3 linked regions of the Notamacropus eugenii genome follow. The protein of the gene in region 3 interacts with the protein of the main gene of each other region in a pairwise test. Links are inferred from orthologs where the notes say so. Each region holds a gene or a part of one and is shown on either strand. Other genes may lie near its edges.

The links.
Region 1: the proteins of RAPGEF4 (region 3) and BMERB1 interact in binary tests that used the Homo sapiens proteins (3 or more experiments, as listed by UniProt). The link is inferred for Notamacropus eugenii from reciprocal best matches to the Homo sapiens genes RAPGEF4 and BMERB1.
Region 2: the proteins of RAPGEF4 (region 3) and SWAP70 interact in a two-hybrid assay, tested with the Homo sapiens proteins (2 studies listed by BioGRID and IntAct). The link is inferred for Notamacropus eugenii from reciprocal best matches to the Homo sapiens genes RAPGEF4 and SWAP70.

Annotation. Positions count from the first base shown.
Region 1 is NC_092872.1:95,857,654-95,865,055, reverse strand, and holds the start of BMERB1 (bMERB domain-containing protein 1), read right to left. Parts: upstream 3,020-7,402; 5' UTR 2,864-3,019; coding exon 2,758-2,863; intron 1-2,757.
Region 2 is NC_092877.1:35,808,154-35,815,307, forward strand, and holds the start of SWAP70 (switch-associated protein 70), read right to left. Parts: upstream 3,100-7,154; 5' UTR 2,951-3,099; coding exon 2,852-2,950; intron 1-2,851.
Region 3 is NC_092876.1:234,643,343-234,650,290, forward strand, and holds the start of RAPGEF4 (rap guanine nucleotide exchange factor 4), read left to right. Parts: upstream 1-3,881; 5' UTR 3,882-3,980; coding exon 3,981-4,045; intron 4,046-6,948.

The sequences.
Region 1 (7,402 bases), on a different chromosome or scaffold from region 3:
TTTCTCTGATGCTTTTCCACCCACCTGGAATGCCCTTCCCCCTCCTCTCCTTCTATCTAAATTCTACCCACTCTTAAAAGCCCAGTTCAAATCCAAAAGATGAGTCTCAACAACAGAGGAAAGTGATTAGAGGAAAGATCCGGATTTTTTTAAAAACCAAAGTATTTTCCCCATGAAACTCTTTCTACAGATTCAAAGCAATTTCCTATGAGGAAAGTAGAGCTATTTTTTCCAGTTATATAGAAGAAGAGACTGGAATATGTAGAAGCTAGGACTTGAAAATCTGGTTTAAAGTCCTCAAATATTTTTCTGCTCTGAATAATTAGATATTCAGCTTCTCATTATTATTGTTGCTAAAGACATTTAATAAGAGAATTTTATACAATCCTACCTCACCAAAAAGAAAAAAAAACAGCCCTCTGGTCTTTTTCTCTTTTATGTTATCTTTTAATTAAGCACATGCTTAGTGTTTAACAAAATTAATTTAAATATGTAGAGATTCCATTAACAGAGAGCTCTTTCTCCTATTAAAAGGCAAATGAATCATTACCTTGGGTCTACATTTCCATTACATTATGCAAATAAAAAAGCACCTCAACATCAAATGTCAGATCCTTACATCAGTTTGGTGTTTATACTTTTGGAAATCAATAATAACAATCATCATACCATATTAATCTATATAAATACATTTCATAGATGTTATATATGATGGCGTAGATATAGGAAGGTGGGAAGGATCCCCAAAGAGCTCCTTATTGTTATTTTTCTCTCAAATAGCTCTTATAATAGACTATCTAGTCAAGAGTATGAAACCCCAAAAGATGAAACTATCAGCTATCAAACTAAGATTCCAAAGCTTGTCTTAAATCAATTTCTTAAGAAGATTTCAAATTTGAGTTTAAAAAAAATCCCAACTTTGGATTTTAAGGTAGCTGTAAAAAACAGACCAGAGTCTGTGGGCAGAGTTTTAAAAAGCACGAGAATAGGTTTGATTACTGCAAGAAAGACATATAAAGGAATCTATCTAAAAAGCTCTGAACAGCTTATAGCCTGTGACCTAAAAGATTAAGAAGTTCACAGGGAAAGAAAAGGCTACAATAAGGTGATGTGAGTGATAACCAACAGCTCAGTATTACTCCAGAGTGTTATTGTGCAAAAGGAAAAAGGCAGGTCATTTCTACAGATTCTATTAAAAGTTTGATCTAAATTAACATCAGCTTATCAGGTCCAAAACCATGTCTACTGATTAGACCATAACATGGCAGGCTCCTGAAGCAGCCACAGCTTCCTCATGATTGTGAAATTAATGAACATACCCTGGGAGTCTATTCAATCGAGTCTGAAGAAATATTGATACATTCAGTAGTAATCTCATAACATATACTGCAACAAAACTCACAGTAGAAATATTAAGTGAGAAGGAGAGTTTGACATTTGAATATCGGAAAGATGGAAGGGGCGGGGGGAGAAAGAGGTTAAATAGTAGAGATCCTTGTGCTATACTGTAAAAAACTTCAGCAGTCCAAACATGGATTAACCTGTAGTCCCTATTCAAGCTGAATACACCTGAATCAGAACACATCTGTGCCATTCTAAGAAGACTTTCTAAATCTCAATGATCGGAGAAGGGAAAAACGTGAAAACACACAATTCGCTCCTGGACAGAGATGATGCAAAGAGCACACACATTGAGACTGAAAGCTGTCCAAGAAAACTGAAATAAAAATTAAACCAAATATGTCATGTGTCAATGGAACTCCCATTTCTACCCCCAGTAGCTTGGAAATATATATATACATATACATATACGTATATGTATATATATGCCTGCTTTATAGCTAATTCTGAGAACGGTAATCTAGAGCAAAGGCAGGAATGTACAGACTGAATGAGGAGGGGAGATGACTTTTCACAACATCTGGTGAACAGCTGCATTAAAGCAAGCAAAGTGAAGGGCACTTGGAGTCTCTCTAGGTTTTTGCAAGGAGGATTAGTGTCCCTGTTGCCCTCAGGAAGCACCCTCCCGCCTTTGGACTCTGGGGGCAGAAGTGTCAACTGTTGCATCCTTCAAAAAAAAATCCTTCATCTTTAGAAAGATGCTCTTTGCACTGAACCTTAGAAATTTAGCAAACAGAGCCCATCTGTTATACAGTGACAGCACATACAATCCAAAACCTTTAGTTGAGCCAAGTGCCACCTCTCCCCACTCCGGAATAGGTGAAGTAAGCATGTGTGTCTGGAGAAAAAGAAGGAATGCTGAGAATTTCACATGCACCCTCGACCAAGAAAACTGATCATGGACAACTGCCTTTCTTAGGAATTCCTGGTCCACTTGTTCTCATAGTATCAGGGTGGAAAATCATCCTTCACCCCTAATCTCTCCTCCTGCCTGCCTGCAACTGAGGAAGAGAGCCCACCTCAAGGTCCATCAGAAAGAGGCTGCACTAGGATCTCTAAAGCCCAAATCAGAGCCCAGGAATTGGTGTTCCCTCTCCATTTCCCGCTGGGCTGTCTTTGCAAAGTCCCCTGGACCGAGGACACATCGATTGACAACCCAGCGGGAATGACGTGCCGGTCCCCCTTTGTTAGAAGCCTAAGCCCGCGCGGCGCTGCGCATCGCCCCCCTCAGCTAAAAGCACCGCTGCGGGGGCGCTTTCTTCAGCCGGGCAGGGAACGGTCTCCAGCTTTTACCGCGCTTAAGCAGCCACCAGCGTGTTTGCAGGGCTGCTCCACTCTCCCCGCCCGGGTACTCACTTCTCCCCAGTCCCTCCGCTTTCCATTCCGTCTCCTCCACGGCCCCATAGCGCCTCAGCGGCTTTTCAGCCTCCAGGTGGGCGGACAACGATTGCTTTAATTCCATAGCCGGTTCCACTGGCGGGTCGATGGGTCTCCTTTACTCCATCCCCCCAGCGGGCTGCAAGGAGGGAGGTGGCTCCAGCCAGCAGCGTTTTAAGGGGCTGGGCGCTCGTGACGCTACTGCATCTCTTCCGCCGGCAGAGTCGGGGAGAGCCCGACTGGTACCCAGGAAGGGGAGGGATGCAGAGCACATGCGCAGTAGTGACTCGGAGAAGGTCTGGGGGCTGGGTGGCGAGAAGAGGGAAATAACTCTGCAAACAACAGTAACAAAAACATAACAGCCAAGGGAGAGTGAGCAAGACACTGGATGTATGCTGTGTCTCTGCTTCCGATGTCTTGAGGAAAGGTTAAAAGTGTCAGGGGTTTGTATGTGTTTTGCATATGGTTGTGTCTGTGAGCGCTATTCATCATCTGTAAGCAGGCTGAGCAGCTTTGTGTGGCATTCGTGAGCATGTCTGTGGACGATGTATCCATCTTTATGTGAATAATGCAAATGTGTCGGTGTTGGTGTATGGACAAGGGTTTGGGAGAAAGTTGTGTTTCAGCCACTACGCCTTTGTATACGTCTGCGTGTATAACAGTGAGGCAGTGAAATCTGTATGTATATGAACTAAAGGGATAGATAAAGGTATCATATCCTTAGATACCATAAAACTAATTGGAAAGGCCTCTAGTTCCTTTTTGTCTTGAAATCTACAATGCTAAGTACTTACAAAAGTGTTAAGTAATGAGTTACTTTCCAGAAATCTGAATAACATTGTCAGTCACAAAATACAGTGACTTTAAGAAGACAAAGTACATACATTTAGCAAAAATAACATTTGGATTCTATCTGGTGCTTTGTATCCAGTGGCCCTATTCTTTAATGCAAAATTATTTTACAATGTGCTAGGGAAATAATCTAATTTTGGAATCTTCTTAAAAGACAAGATTTCAACCCTGCGTCAAAAGAGGAAACACCTGTCCATTTGCACTGTTTCAGGGTGACAATAAGGCAATTTAAATAACTCTGAAAAAGTTCTGGAGTGATTTTCTACCCTTGGATTCAGAACTTGGATTAGTGCCTTGCTACTCCTGAGAATGCCAATGACTCAGAAGGGATACAAGATAATTATAAAAGGTCAGGTCAACAGAAGTATATATTCCCAGCAATAGTTGAATCTTAACCATACAATGTTTTCCATTCTTATCTTCCATGAATTTACTGAATTGTTTTCTTAGCTAAGAGAGGGAACCTGTTAAAATGAGAATGTACATAAGGATATACATCCATGATATGTATAATTTGTATAATGGTTTGTTAGGATTGTATTAATATTTCTATACATGAGGATGAAAATAAATCAACCCTTTCTTCCATGTATTTTTAATAGTTTCTTCATATCTTCCTACAAATAAGTTCAGATCACCTGATCTTTTTTTAAAAGCCTTCACTTAATACTTGTCCCCAGTACAGCTCCCAACATTGTATCTCTCTCCTCCCCATTCACTGCTCAAGTTGTTTAAAAAGTTGTTTACAGGAGTGCCTCTACTTCCTCACCCCTTTGTTATCTAGTTTCCATCTCCCTCACTCCACTCAAACTACTTTTTTCAAGATAATGATCACCAAATGGCCAAACCTGATGGCCTTTTTTTCCTTATTATCCTCCTTGACTCTACACAATATTTGCATTATTGCTATTTCTCCTGTGTGATACCACTCTTGTCTTATCTGACTTTTGGAACACCACACTCACCTGATTCCCCCATCTCTCTAGCCATTCTTTTTTCTGTTTCTGTCACTGGTTTCTTGTTTTCATCTTTTAAAGTAGGTATTCCCCAATGGACCCTGACCCTTTTAGATAGGCATTCTCTTAAGGCTGTGCCCTGGGCCCTCTGCTTTTCTGCCTCTGTACTGCATCCCTTGGAAATCTCAAACACTTTTGTGATTTTTAGTATCATTCTGTGCAAGTCACTCACAAATTTATATCTCTGGCTCTGACTCAAACTCCAAACTAATATTTCTAGCTCTACCTAGATATTCCACTGGTAATTCAAATTCAATGACTTTCCACTAAAACCTCTTCCTCCTGCTGACCTCACTATTTCCATCTGTGGAACCACCATTTGCCCCATCTCTCACATTAAAAATTTTGTTCTTCTCTTTGACTCTCCATCCCTCTCTCATCTCTCATTTTCAATTATCATTATTTTGATTCTACCTTCATATTATCTCTGCTTCACCCCTCCCCTGGTACGAGCTCTCATTACCACCCACTGTACTATCACAATAGCCTCCCAGTAGATTGTCCTGCCTCCCCCTCTCTTCCACCTCAAATCTATTCTCCACACTACTTTAATACTTTCATATCTTTCTTATTAAGATAAAAATGAAATATTTAAACTAAAAGTAATCATGAATGACCTGAACAACTAAGTGAACTAGGGGTTCACCTTTGCTTATCTACTTGAGCTTTGGAGAGCCTGGAGACTGTGATTAGAAATCCAGCCTTTACACGCACTAAAGGAAGGAGAAGAGCAAGAGACATCTGTGAGAGGTCATGGCATCAGGGAAGGTGCAACTGAACTGAAAGTAGGAGTTGGCTGTGTCCAATTGGCTTCAGCCACAGAGCAACCACTGGCTAAAAGAATGATATGGAATCAGAGGTTCTGTTTTTAATCACTAATATTTCTACCAGCTTGGAGTTAGAAATGCAGCAAAATTGTTTTATTTTTAAAGACTGATAGCATATGTTTAAACTTTGCAAAAGCAGTGATCAAAAGGAAGCCAAACTGTCCTGTATTGCCCTGGGCACAAAAAAAAGACCATAGTATGATGGGAGAAGGCATAGTAAATAGATGCTTGAGGAAAGTTTCCTCTGAGGCAGGGGTTTAGGGCAACTCTTAGGGATCCTCTGAAAGGAAGACTTGGGTGGATCCATTCATGGGAGGGTGGGAAACAGAAAGGAAAAACAGATAATTCTTCTCAAAGTTCCAACTCCTTTACCTGAGGCATTCGAAGACCTTCACACTCTGATACCCTAACATTTCAGTCTTTTTATTGCTACTTCCTTCATTGACTCTAGCCTTCAGCCAAACCATGTTACTTATTTTCCATTCCTCATACACATCCTTCAGTTTCCCATCTTTTATGCCTAGGATCACACTGTTTCCCAATTACTGCTAAACTTCTTTTAAAAGTTGACTTCCTTGACTGCTGGGCACCAATTGACACTGTTGGTGGTGCCTTCCTTTTGGTTAGTCTTTTTCTTCCTGGGATTTGAGATTCCCACACTTTCCTGGTATTTCTAGCTTCACAACTATGCCTCTATCTTCTTCACCACCTTTCTCTACCTGCTTGTGTTCATCCTTCATTGCCAAAGAAGACCATGCCATCAGAGGAATGATGACATGACTTGCACTTGACTTTGTTTTGAATGAGGTTACCAGCCTCATTTCTCCTCCAGAGCCATGTGAATCCAGTAACCAGATATTCATCAGGATGACTGGAGATGACCCAGGATGCACTCTATCTGCTTAAATTCCTACCCAAAGCACAACTTGAATACTATGACCTCCATGAAGCGTTCCCTATAATGACTTTTCCCTACCCCAACAACCATTTGGAATTCACATGTCAATCTATCCATATCTCTCTTAGCATGTACTGTTTTGTACTATAATTATTGCATGAGTATATCATAAGAAGGCAGCTAGGTGGCTCAGTGGATAAAGTGCTGGGGCTGGAGTCAGGAAGACCTGAGTTCAACCAGCCTCAGATAGTTAGGGTTATGTGGCTATAGGTGTGACACCCCCACCTCAACCCAGTTGGGCAAGTCACTTAACTTCTTTTTACCTTAATCCACTAGAGAAACAAATGGCAAACCACTCCACTACCTTTGCCAAGAAAACCCTATGGGCAGTATGGTCTACAAGGTCATGAAGAGTTTGACATGCTTGAATAAGTGAACAACAGCATATTCTAATCCCCATAGGGTAATCTCTATTGAAGGAATAAGCTCTATATATCTTATTTAAACTCTTTACCTTCTTTAGCATGTAGCATAGTATACAGTGAGCATTTAATTAATGTTTTTGAATTGAAATGTTCCAGTTGCTTAAACTGTCATCATGAAGCACTCTACACAGAAATCTGCTTCTTTTCAAGATGTATCATTATCTGTTCTAAGTCAAGGGAAGAAGAGAAAATGTGGAGATTGACATGCATGGCAATTGTTCAAGCCCTCAGTATTGCCACAAATTTACCCCCAACATCTCCTGGAACCTAGAACTATTTCTTTTTTTGGAAAACACATCTGTTTGACTGATCTCTTTCCATCTTTGCTAGGAAAATCATAAATACAAGTGAAGACATAGTTATCTATTAGAAATGAACAAACATAGATTGCAAACTCCTAGAAGACGGGGACTGTTGGTTTCTTACTTGTACCCCTAGTGCTTGGCACATAGTATGCTCTTAATAAATATTTGTTCTTTATAAATAATAAATTGTTCTAATAAATATTTGTAGAATGCATCAGTCTTCTTTACCTGCAACAGAAGC
Region 2 (7,154 bases), on a different chromosome or scaffold from region 3:
AGTAAGAAAGGGCTGTGCAAAGTCATCAGCCTCATCCAGTCCTCTAGAGACATCTATGTAAATATATAAATCAGGACGACTAGAGATGGCCCCCAGTATTCATCTAGGACTCAATGCTGCCATTACTCAAAACATGCCTAGAATACCTCTTTGGTAATCGAGGCCACCCAAAGTAGTCCATCAGTCAAACAGCCTTAGCCTTTATAATTAGCACCATTTTATGTTTAATATGAAATGTATATGTAGAGCTTAAATCACACTGCGTGCAGTCTTGGGGAGGGGAAAGAAAAGGAAGGGAGAGAAAATTTAAAACTCAAAAGCTTGTGGAACTGCATGTTGAAAACTAAAAATAACTTTTAAAAAAGAAAAAGCTTTGTAAATGTTAAGGTGCTCTATGTAAAAGTGGGAGGTCAAAATGAATGGATTATCCAATCAACCCATCCCACTTAAAATGAAAACCTTACTCAATGAAAAAACAAGTGAAATCAACTTGGAGTACAATGCCTCAAAGCCTTTAATAAAATGTTAAACAGAAAATTTAAAAAAATAATAATAATTAGCACCATTTTGTACCAAATAAGTTTTAGTTATTTACAAAAATCAGATCTAAGAATATTTGGAAGTTTGCTTTGACTCCTTCTCCAGCTTCTTACATACCCTATCTTGGGTGGATTGGCATTTTCTGATTTGCACAACGTAGCTACTTCTCTGTTAAGGCTGAACTACTGGAAATTTGGAACTCAAAAGACAGTATTTAACTCTTCTGGGTAAAGAATTTCTTTAAGGATGAAGATTTACCATCATCAGGAACATTTGAAATAACATGAAGCAGAAGCAAAAAGCAATGGCAAAATAGGATTTCCAAGATGTTTTAAGCAATGGTGTCATCACTGGAATAAATGCCTTTCTCTGGTACAATGATTTGGTAGTGCAGAGTTCGGATGCAATTTGTTAAAAAAAAAAAAAATCACTACTCCCCTCCCCACCCAATAGAATGCAAGTTCCTTTGAGGGACAGGCTGGTTTTCTCCACATTCCTAGTGCAGAGCATAGTGCCTTGCCATAGCACCAGAACTGCCCTCACTGGCCACTACATAATCATTTTTTTAAAGCCGAAGGTGCAGGCAATTCAGAGGGCCTTGGCAAAGGGTACATAATAAGTACACGTTTGTCTTTTTCTCCTAAGTTTGGCTTTACTTTGTCCCTTATTTTGTATGCTTGTTTGATTATTAATGAAATAATTCTAAGAATTCACTGAGGAAAAGCATAAATGTGCCCATCCTGAAAATTCACATGGAAGGTTCCTCTTCTCTGGGACGTGGAAATATCTGCCTGCCCATTCCTCCAGCCTGAGCTTTTTCCCTTGCTCCCTTCACTCAATACACAGGCAAGCCTTTTTAGCCTGACATGAAAAAAGTTTTTGGCAAAGCTAAAAGCTACAGTCAAACCCTGGTGGGAAGGGGAAGAAGAAAGAGAACAGGGCTGCTCCAGGTAAGGAACATTTTACCCACAAGGGTTAAACGCTATCTTTTGAGTTCCAGATTTCCACTAGTTCCAGCCTTAACACAGAAGTAGCTATGTCGTGCAAAGGGAGAATGCCTAGCCACCGAGAGGGTGTGTAAGCAGTCGCAAAGGGAGTAAAAGCGAACTTCCAAAAATAGGTGTCGCCAACCAAGCGAATCCTCACCCCCGCAGAGGCTGTAGACACGTGCTCTTAACTCCTTCATGTCGGAGGTGTACGGAACCAGGGGCAGCCAGGGGCGGCAGAGGGAGCTAGACAGGATCGGGGCACCGGAGTGCTACCTCCTCCACCCCCATCCCACCCTCACTAACGTGCAGCCCCAGCCAGCCTCCCTGGAGCTGGACACACGCACACGAACCCAGAACCTGCGAGGGCTGAACCGCGTGCACGCACATTCGCCAGACTGAAACTCACACACACACACGAGCAGAACCTGTGCGGATGAAACGTACACACACCCAAGATTAAAACACACACACAACCTAGAACCTGCACACACACACACACACACACGAGCAGAACCTGTGCGGATGAAACGTACACACACCCAAGATTAAAACACACACACAACCTAGAACCTGCACACACACACACACACACGAGCAGAACCTGTGCGGATGAAACGTACATACACCCAAGATTAAAACACACACATAAAACCAGAACCTACACACATACACACACTAGACTGAAGAATACACAACCAGAATCTCTGCAGATTGAAACGTACACACACCCCAGACTGAAACTCACACACAACCTAGAACCTGCACACACACACACACACACACACTCGAAAACTGTGAAAAAACACACTGGACAGAAAACACACGTACCCGGTGTAGAACCTCCATACGTTCTACACATCGCCTCGGGCAGGGAGGGGGGAAGAGGAGGGGGAGGGGGGAAATCTACGATACGTGGAAGTGGCTGTACAGCACTGAAAACAAAACAAATAATTTTTTAAACAGGAAAAAAGAAAACAGACACAAAGGCAGCACCTCTTCCGGCCTGGCCTCAGTTTACCCACTTGTCCCACGGCCCAGCCTCCCACGTGCCGGGGGCTGCCCAGCCGTGCCCCGACAGCGCGGCCTGGCCCGGAGTCCGCGGCCCGGGGGGAGGGAAGCCCGCTGGGCCTCAGTTTCCTCCTCTGTAAAATGAGCGGGTCCGTACCAGACGGCCTCGGGGCCACGGGGCTAGGACGCCGCCAAGGTTAAAAGCTCAGGGAGGCCGAGGCCGAGGCCCAGCCGGTGTCCCATACCCCCCACCCCCACCCCGGCCCCGCCGGACGGACGGACGGCCCCTGCGGGGGCGGGTCCGAGGCACCCACCTTGAGCTGAGACTTGGAGACTTTGCCGCTGCGGTCCAGGTCGAGCGCGGTGAAGGCGTGCCAGATGGCCTTGAGCAGCTCCTCCTTGAGGCCCCCCATGGCGTGGCCTTGGCCGCGGCCGCGAGCCCCCGATCCCACCAGCGCGGAGCACCCAGCCGCCTCCGACACTGCCCCCGGGCACGGCTGCACCTCCGCCGCCGCCGCCCGCCGGCTCGCTGGCTCCCCAGCCCGCCCGGTCACCTGACCCTCGCCCCGCCCCGCCCCATCTCCGTGCCGGGGAGGAGGCGGGGGCGTGCGGAGGCGCCAGGGGCGGGGTCTGGGCCCAGGGGCGGGGCCCGACCTCGGTTCCGCCCACGGCTCCCGGAGCAAAGCCTTCGGCGCGCGCTGCACGCCGGCCCGGGCTCCCTGAGGCCCCGCCCCCAGACCTAGGCGAGCGTCCGAGTATCCCAGCAGAGCCCGTCGGGAAGCTCGACCCTCCCCACCCAGGGAAGCTTTGCCCCCTGGTTACACCCGGACTGGGTCGGAAGAATGCGAAGCAGAAAGGCCAGCCTCGGGCTGCGGCTGTGTGACCCTGGGCTAGCCGGCCCCGTTTTCTTCCCCTGGAAAGGGGGGCACGGGGATGGCGCCTGCCCCCCCGGGTCCCTGTGAGGGTCCCTGGTGTCTGTCTATGCTCGTCCTTCGTCTCCAAGAAGACCGGGCCGTCACAGGGATGATGACGTGACCTGCGCTGGCTTTGCTTTGAGGGAGGCAGGGCTGCGCAGGTCACCCACCTCACCTGTCCTCCTGAGCCTTCAGGGGTTCATCAGGACGACTGGAGGTGGCCCAGGGCGATGGGAGACCCCGGCCTCACTTAGATTCGGTGAATCAGCCTCTCTAAGAAGTAACAGGGAATGGCCCCTTCAATGAGCCGAAGAAAGGGGGCGCTTAATCAAGGATTCCTTCCTTTAAAGCCTGCTTTTAAATTGGTATGATAAAGTACATGGGATTACAAAGGAAACCAACTCTACTGAAGTTATCAAGGTATTTTGTAAGCAGTTCACGAGGCTCAGGCTAGGAACCCCTGCTTTGTACAAAGACGTCTAGTAAGGCGAACCCCCTACCTCCTAGAGCGGCCCCTGACACTTCCATGCAGCTGGAAGGTTCTCCTGCACCGTTAGGTTTTTTGTGTTTTCCTGTTTTTTTTTCTGACATGGAGCCTAAATCTGCCTGTCTACAACATCGTCTCCCCCCCCCCCCCCCATTTGTCCCTTTGATGCCAAGAAAGAAAAATATAATCCCTCTTCCCCAGAGAAGCTGGGGGGTCACAAGATCATCGATTTAACGTTTAGATGCCATCTGGTCAATGAATCCCTTTCTTTTGACAGGTGAGGATAATGAGGCCCAGCTAGCTTATGAGTCTTACCTAAATTCTGCCTCTCCCCAGGCCCCAGCACACAGGACAATGTTACAAACTGCCAAAGTAGTCCTGAGCTTTCCCCAGACAGTCTTTAGAATTCCACAGGGTGCAACAAAGTAACATTTGTTGAAGTTGAACTGAAAGATAGCTTTGGGAGAAGTCTTCACTTCTTTTCTCCCTGGGTGGATGCTATAAATGTTTAGGATTTCCTAGGACTGATTTCACCGTGGTCTAAGCTGAATTGTTGAATCTGGAGTCAAAAAAGCATTGGGTGCGTCCAGTCCTAAGTCTGCCCTTCGTTAGTTGTATAACTTAACCTTAGGTCTCAGCTCATCTGAAGGTTTTCTATAAATGCCAAGTCCTATTTTGTTCTGTTTAACAGTAATCGATGCTATCCGAAGCTGAAATGGAGTTGCCTCCAGACTGAGTGAGTCTTCACTGGGGGTCTTCAAGAGATGCTTCCTGGCCACTTGTTGGGGATTTTGTAGAAAGGAGTCTTGTGCTGGAGATACCATCTGGGGACCTTTCCAACTGCATGAACATTTAGCAAGAAAATATTTGAGTGCCTGTACCTCCATCCCCAGGAGGTCTCAGACAGAAGGTTCCCACATCCATCTCCATGTTCACAGCAGCACTTTGGAAACAAAGTGAATGTCCATCGAAAGGGGAATAACTAAACAAATCATGGTGTGTGGATGGAATGATTGCTATAAGAATAGCAGAGAATATGAAGTTAGGCAGAATAAGGGATGCGGAACCAGCGAAGCAATATATACCACGTCTACAACAATATAAGTGGGAAAAAAAGAAAAATGGAAGAAAGCTAAATGCTGATAATAACTGATATTAGCCCTGAAGAAGAGATGAGAAGGTCCACCTTCCTCCTTTCACTGCACAGGTGGGAGGCTACAGGTGCACAATGTGGTATACTTTGTCAGGGGTGATTGATGAGGGCCTTGGTTTTGCTTAACTTTTTTTTTCTTTAAGAAGAGAGTGAATGGGGAAAGGGGAAAATATGATGAAAAAGATAAAGGGTATCATGAATAGTTTTTAAAAAAATAAAGGAATATTGATAAATATAGTTATGCCAAATAAGGGAAAGATGTAGGGGGAGGAATGAGCAAGTTATAAATTTGGGCAGACTAGGGAAGGTTTCATAAAAGAGGCTAGTCTTCAGGGTTTTGAAAAAACTGTTATTTTTGACCACAACTTTCAAAGTCCTTTTCTTTCATAATCTCCTACTGTTAATGAAAAGGATGTGTTGCTCGTAGCCCTGGGAAAATTACATATGTCTTCTATTGAGTATAGTCACAGGCTTCTTGTGCTTCTGCAAAATGAGATGCAGGGAGAGTCAGAGCCCTAGAAGTGTTAAGCCTAGAAAGATCCTCAGAGATCATTTAGGACATTCTACAGAAGAAACTGGTCCAGAGAAGGGAAGGAACTTACCCAGGGTCACACAGGAAATAGTAGGGCTAGGCTTCCAATCTATGTCTCCTGACTGATCCTAGAGTACTTCCCCCTCTATCATGCTGCCTTTCATAAAAGGGACCATCAGTGGTCCTAGAAGTGATTTGAGAGTCTGACTGGATGAGTGTGACGCACTCATTCCTCTAGAAGAGGAAATTGATGATTACTCCAACCATCCTGTATGACCGGAGGTAACTAGATGGAGAAGCAGATAGAGTGCTGCTGGAGTCAGGAAGACCTGAGCTCAAATTTGTCTTCAGACACTCACCAGCAATGTAACTCTGAGCAAGTCACATAACCTCTGTCTGCCTCAGTTTCTTCAGCGGTAAAATGGAGATAATAATAGCACCTCCCTCCTGGGACTGTTGTGAGGAAAAAGTGAGGCAATATTTGTGAAGTACTTTGCAGACTTTAATGCACCATATAAATACTAGTTATTCTATCAGCACTCGGCACAGGGTATGGTGTGAACAAGTATTCAATCAGTGTTTGAAGACACTTACTAGCTGTGTGACCCTGGGCAAGTCACTTAATTCAGTTTGCCTCAGTTTCCTCATCTTCTAAAATGAACTGGAGAAGGAAATGGCAAACCAGTCCAGTATCTTTGCCAAGAAAACCCCAAATGGGGTCACGAAGAGTAGGACATGACTGCAGTGACCCACAACAACAAATGAAGATGATGATGATGATAACAGGGACAATTGTAATTCCAGATTCCCAATGTGGTGGAATTCCCAATGTGGTACAAAGAATCAGAAGAGCTGCAGTTTGGAATGGGATATTTACTAGTTCTGTGTCTTTGAGCCTCAGTTTCCTTATCTGTAAAAAAAAACACTTTGCCCTGTCACCTTCACAAGGTTGCTATGAGGACTAAAGGAAATGATATTTGGGAAATTAGAAAGAACTGTATGTATATGAAGCAGGGAATCAGAGGATCTGGGTTTAACCAAACTCACTCAGAGTTCTGCCCCCAGCCTGCTAATTAACTCTTTACCACATTTAGTCTCATCATCATACGAGAGTTCTACAAATTCTAGGGTATCCAGGAGTATGTTTTGGTATTTCTTCATAAACTGCTAAAATTTAAACCTCTCTTACTCTCAGTTAAGGTCAGAATGCCCACTTATGTTTTGGTATTTCTTCATAAACTGCTAAAATTTAAACCTCTCTTACTCTCAGTTAAGGTCAGAATGCCCACTCTAGCTCATCAGATATTATTTATTCAGTGAAAATAGGACCTGGAGGAGGAAACTCTCTCTACCAATGCAGGTCAATACCTTCTCTTCAAGTTAAAGCCTTAGAAAGTTGCCTAGAGTATTGATACATTAAATAACTTGCCTGGTGTCATAGAGTTAATACAAGGCAGAGACAGGACTTCAGTCCAGGCCATTTGGACTCTCTGTCCATCATAACATAATTCTTTTCCAGGCCCAGGTAACC
Region 3 (6,948 bases):
CCTTTCCCCCAGATTGCTTGGTATTTATTTTGTACATATTCATGTGTACATAGTCCTCCTTAATAGTATATAAAGAGGCCCTTGAGGTTAGAGACCATTTCATTTTTGTCATTGTATCTCTATCACTGTCATTGTATCCTTGTATCACTGGTACAGATAACTCTAAATTCAGGAAGTAGGTATTAATAAGAAAATGCTAATTTAATACTTGTTGAATGATTGATGTTAGTCACACCTGATTTGAGCAAGTTACTTGGGTAGAAAGAGTGTGGGTTTGGGAGTCAGTAAAGATGATTCTGTTCACTAGCGTGGTGACTTTGCGTTGACACTTAACTGGCTTGAGCTTCAATATACCCATCTGTGAGATGAGAGCATTGAATTAAACAATCTCTAGGTCATCTGTTGACTTTGACATTCTCTGTTCTAAGATTTCTTCTAACTTTAATAGCTTTTTTATGTTCCAAGATACCTCCCAGCCCAGATCTTCTTTGTTCCAAGATCCCTTGCAGGATGGACTCTGTAATCATACATGAATTTATTAGTTTATTAGACCAGAGGTAGGAAGGAAAGAGCTGCAGATTTGGAGTCAGAGGACCTGGGATGTGGTTCTGCTTTTTATCACTAACTTTCTGACATTGAGAAAGCCCATCAGTCTCTTTGGGTTTCAGTTTTGTCATGGAATCAATGATCTCCATAGTCCCTTCCAGTGATATCAGTGATCTTATTTCTTTCACAAGTGTACACAAATCATCCTTGCTAACATGTTGCAACCTACTTATACCTATCTTATATCTCTCCTTTGGCCTTCGGGTCTAACGCAATTTTGCTTTTGAAATTATAGTACTTCATGATTTGCATTCATAAGCATCACTGGGAAAATATTAATGTTAAAAACATGTGTTTCAGCATTAAAGAGTTGCTTGGGATTATTGAAAGCAAGACACAATTTCTTGAATCAACTTGATAAATACAACATGGATGGGGTAAGGCAAGGAAGAAACATCTCTAAAAATAACTGGGAACTTTACTGAATTGCTAGTTCAAGATGAGTCAACCAACGACATATGGTAGAAAAATTCTTCCCCTCCCCAAAACATGAACTTAGACTTGTATTGATGGATATGTATTAGCCAGGATGAGGAGAGGTTTATATCACATTGGTAGTATTGTATTCAGTCCTTTAACCACATTTTAGGAAGGAAAATTCCTTATTACTCACTCACTCATTTATGAAGTGGAGGTGCCCGATTCTGCAAGATTAATCTGGTGTTCCCTATTTCCTTTCTGAAGCCTGCATATCTATATATGCCACAAACTACATGTACGACCTAAGTTGGAGAATATTCAGAACAGATTAGCCTGAATGGTGCCAGAGAGTTCCTGTAGGCCATATGCATATCCATTTAATAAACTGAGGATGTTTAGCAAAGGGAAGAGAAGACATATTGGATATGATACCTGTCTTCAAGTATTTCCATTCGTCATATGAAAAGTCATTCGATTTGGTCTGTTTAATCCCAGAGGACTGAATTAAGATCAGGGATGGGGAACAGAGTTACAAAAGAGGCAAATTTAGGGTTGATAGTAAAGAAAAATTTCCTAATATTTACAGCTAAATGAAAATGCAATGAATTACCTTGAGAGAGAATGGGTCCTTCACATAGGAAATATTCAAACAAAGAGTGAATGGCCTTGTTGGATATCTTATAGAGGATTAAGAGGGGATTCTTGTTCATTCATTCCTGTACGAGACGGACTAGATGACTTTTGACCAACCCTGAGACTCTGTGAATATGGTTTTTCATCTCTATTATCTCAGTAGTAAACCCTTTGTAGCAATGCTCTGAATTGAGTGAACCAGCAAAACTCACAATGGTATACGTGAGTATTCTAATTTTCAGTAAGTTCAAGGTTTATTGCTGTTACAAATCTCACACTCATACTCACAAAACTGTCTACTTACCCACACCTTGAATTATTTTAGGCTGGATGTACTCCCTTTTTGTATAAGTGATGATAGGAAATATTGGCATAAACTTTGCTTATAATTAAGGAGAAGACTGTTCTCCTTGTGACTCTCATTATCACCATCTTTTGAGTAAGACAATCTGAGTAGGCATCTGTTATCCTTCTATGTATTTTCAAGAACCCTGAGACCATTAAATAAATCAGGCTACATAAGAAAGGATATGAGTCAACTGTTTTTCTCATATTTATCATATAAAAAATGTGACCACTGGAAATATTTTGGCATGATAATTTCTAGGCCGTGTTTTCAGTAGTCTCCATTACCTTGAAAAAAGTTGGAGAATTTAACCAAGGAAGTTCAACGGGGATCCAAAGGACAAACTACGAGGAGGGAAGTCCACTTGATAATCTTGTAATCATATCCTGAGATAAGGTGGTTTGAGGATAAACAGAATACTTTCTGGGGTGTTTTAATATGCTGTCACTTCTAGGGGAGTAAAAACATTCCAAGAGCTTTCTCTCTGCTTTGTTTCTTTAAAAGCAGAAGAGAGGGACCATGGCTGTGACTCTGGTCCCCTGAACTTTTATTGAGTAATTCACTAACACAGCCATTGTGATAATCAAAAGATTTAATGAGTCTCAGAATTCTTGAGCAAGTCAGAGAACTAGTTTTTCTCCTCTGGTAGAATCTTACTGGATAATTTCTACATTGCTTATTGTTTGTTGACTCTTAAAATGAATAAGCCTTTATGACACAGTCCACCTTAGGTTTTGGGTTTGGTTTGCAGATGGGGGTGTAGGAGCTGGAAGTGAGTAGGCAGGTGTTGTTATCTCTGGAACAGTTTTTTCAACAGAACTACCCACACCTCTATTCTGATGGCAGCCCTCCTTTCCACTTCTCCCTCCAAGAGAACTTTCTTTGTGCGGCTTCATCTGAATTCAAGGTTTTCTCCAATCAAATGTGACAGCAATCTCTGTTTTTCCTTCTTCTCCCAGTTCCACATGCTGCATCTCCAGGCCTTGGTTTGGGGATTAGGCTACAGTGCTCTCTCCATTCACCTCCCAGGCCTTGGTCAATACCTGAAATGCCAAGCAGTTCTCCCCACCTCTGGCCCACGTCCTCTAATTGGTATCTTTCCAGGACCCAGCTGACAGGGAACTTGTTGCCATTGGAGCTGTTCTAGCGGAGACTTTTTCTTGTCCCCTCCCCTCTTCCCTTCATCCTTTCCAGAGGAGAGAAATGAAAAGAAAGGTGAGGAGGAAACGCCAGCAAGTTTTGACAGCTGCTGAGGAAGATTAATCGGTTTCTAAGGAAACACAGAGGCAGCAGCCATTTTAGTGGCAGATGCCGTATGAAAAATAATGACACTGACAACACATCTCTCTCCCCCCGCCCCCCTCGCCTCCCCTCCCACATTCCCCTCAAACCATTGCACCGAGCTGCGGGCCGGGCTGGCGCCAGTGAGAGCCAGGTGGGAGAAGAGCAAGCGAGCTAGGGAGCGAGCCAATCCCCCTGGCCCGGCCACCTGTCGCACAGCAGCCACCTAGCCTGGGGGGACTGCGAAGCTCCTCACTCCCTGCCTGCTCCAGGCGAGGAGACACACCTGGGACCCGCAGTGCGGTCTGCTCTGCCCTGAAGCCGCCACTGCCCTCTGCTGCTCAGCCCCAGCCCGGGGACCCGGGAGCCTGGGAGCCCGGGAGCCCGGGAGCCCGGGGAGCTGGGGCAGGGGTTTCGAGGTCAGCCGTCTGAGCTGCTTCCCGCTTCGCCAGCCCCCACCCGGCAGTCTCCCGCTCCTCTGCCTGAAGGCCGCAGGAGCCAGGCTGAGAGGGAGGAACTGGGGTGGGGGGGAGGGAGAGGGATGTAGAGGAACCTACTGCTTGCTGCTCTCTGGGTGAGAGGAAGAGAGGAAGGAGGTGGTGGTGGTGCAGTGGGTAGAGAGGAAAGCCAGCTGGAGAGCAAAGGCACTGAGACACAAGGGAGGTGGCTGACTGGCTCCCTCTGACAGCCCAACATGGTCGCTGCGCACGCTGCCCATTCTTCCTCCTCCGCAGAGTGGATCGCCTGCCTGGATAAAAGGTATCACAAGAACTCTTCCCCACCCCCCAACGCCCCGTTTCCCCCCAACCTCGCCCCCGCCTCCCCTCCATCCCAAGCTGCTGCAGCGGCAGTAAGGAGCTGCTGGTTGCATTGCGGTGCCGGGCATCTCTGCATCCCGTGCCTCCCTCCCCAGCACCAGCACCTGCTTCTTTGGAGACGAAGAGCAATCAGAGAGCCCTCAAGATGCCCAGGAAGAAGAGGGGATGGCGGAGGAGGAATTGGGGGGAGTGCAAGGGGAGGGACCGTGGCCCAGAATCTCCCTAGGGGATGTTAGGAGAGATACTCTCACCCACCCCGCTGGAGTAACCATACACGTGGGGATAGAAAATGAAATGTGGTTATGTTAAAAAAACAAACAAACAAAAAACATACCACCGCAAATCCTCTGGCTAGACCCTCTCTGTCCTTCAACAGCTGTCTCGAAGCTGCCCTTTGGCGAACCCCACTTCTATTAGTGCAGGAAGGCAGAGGGGTAAAATCTGATATTTGCCTGGCAGTTTGGACCAAGGGGGAGGGGGCGTTTTTCTTAACTTCTATCTGAGGTTTGGGGTAACAGATAAGGCAGCCTAGCGATTCTTTTCTTGCTCTGTGAATCAAAGTATTGGGGCCCAGTTGAAAACTTCAAACCATTTTGCATATTTATTCCCAGTGGTCTCCTCAAGGTTTGTACATTAGATAGGTCATGAGGCCGCCTGGCTACTTTGGGTTTTTTGTTTGTGTGTTTTGGGTTTGTTGGCCATTCCGGAAAAGGGATACCTTTCCTTTTGTCACATAAACAAGCAAACAGCCAGTTCATTTTAACTTCTAAGTACAGTTCCATTAACAGGGATTCTGTGCGTGTGTGTGTATTCAGGGTGGGGGTGTAATTTTCCCAGGCGATGACAAGATAATTTTGTGTTTGACCAGATTGTGGGTTTAACAGTAAACATTACACAGTATGTAAGACATCATAGTTTATTACCCTGATTAAAAGGTGCTGCATCTGAACTGTGCTTGGAATTAAAATCTAAGCAAGGGATCTCACAGAGAAAACCATTTCGAATTTTAGAGTTTGAGATAGTCCTGGTGGGGAATATTTCAATGTCATGTTGCTATCTGCATAACATCTCTATTTATAGTTGTGTGAAATATTACTTTCTGCCATATTGAAACCTTTACAATGATCATATTTGTAACCAATTAGAAATCAGAAATCTGACATATAGATTGTATGCTCCAAAATGATAGAAGTTTGTAGAAGATTTAAGCAGTTTGGAGAAAGAGGAATACTGTGTCTTTTTTAAAAAATCTCATATAGCTGACAGACATTTAGGGAAAAGTCTGACTTTCATTTGTCATATACTAGCAAGATTTTTGGCAAAGGGTGCCCCTATTTATGTCTAAAACAATATGTACTAATATCAGAGAAGTTACGTGCAATAAATAGCAAGAAGATTTCAGTGACAGTTAAATCATACAAAATTATTTCTTGGAACTAGGAGCATTTTAAAATGAATAGTCTACTAATGTGGAGAGTAATCTGAATTTAATTGTTTATGAAAAATGGTTTTAAAAATAGAAAACCTGGCTCCTATGCTTAATGCATCTATAAATTATCTAATTATTAATGCTTTGTAATGAAATGTTTCTTAAAATAATAAACTTTATTTTTCCATTTGCCCTAAGGTTTAATATATAATCTCTTTGCATGTTTATGATGGCTAATAATTCACCGGGAACCTTTTTGCCAGCATTTTCCTATGATAAAATCATATAGAAAAGTCAGCACTTAACTGATCTGTTTTTGAGCTGGTCCTTTTTGTAATGTTTCTGTCCTACTGAAACTGTTTGAAATTTGATTTTTAAAATATAGAGCTATTATTAACTAATCTGTCATCAGTCACAATGGTTAAAAATCTGCAAATTAAAAGAAACCTTTAGTGTTTAATTACTTAAGCAATGTTAAAGAGTTTCTCTTTGGGGTATAGTGAAAACAGCAATAGGCTATATATAAAGCTGGAGACCAGGGTTCTAGCACCAGTACTGTAATAACGCAGGATGTGATTTTGGGCAAGTCAGTTCACCACTGTCTGCCTAAGCTTCCTGAGAGGCAGCGTGGTGTAGTGGATAGAGTGCTGGACTCGGAGTCAGGAGAGACCTGGGTTTGAATCCCACCTCTGACACTTCCTAGCTGTGTGACCATGGGCAAGTCACTTAAAATCTCAGCGCCTCAGTTTCCTCATCTGTAAAATGGGGATAATAATACCTGTAGTACTTACCTCCCCGGGAGAATATAATGATGAGGTAAGTACTACAGGTATTATCCCCATTTTAGAGATGAGAAAACCTTACAGAGTTGTAGTCAAGATCAAATGAATTAAGGTATGGGAAATGCTTTGCATACCTTGAAGCCATGTATAAACACCAAAGACAGTTATTATTAGTGGTATCTGTAAAATGGGGATATTAATATCTGCCCTGCTTATCCTTCAGGGATGCTGAAGGATCCAATGAGCCAGTGTACATGAAGTCACTTTGTAAAGCCTAATGCAATAGAAGTATAAGATGGTATTAGTTTGTGACAGCAATGACTACTTTGCATTTTGCTCACTATTTCTAGAAGGAACTGTGTCTTGATGTGGTCATATAGTTAGTAATGAATAATGCATATGACTATCGATACAGAATCTAGTTATATCCACGAAGGAGTTTATAGTCTTTTTTCTTGTTCTTGGTTGTAGACACATAACCTGCAGTGTCTCAGTTGACTGGCATATTTAAATGTCAAGAGAGATCACAGGCTAAACCAGACAACTTAGCCATCCTGGTGTGTCAAGAATGTTGCAATCTTTTCTAGCCAGCTGATGAATTCTTTAAATATTAATGTTTTCATTTTAAAAGAT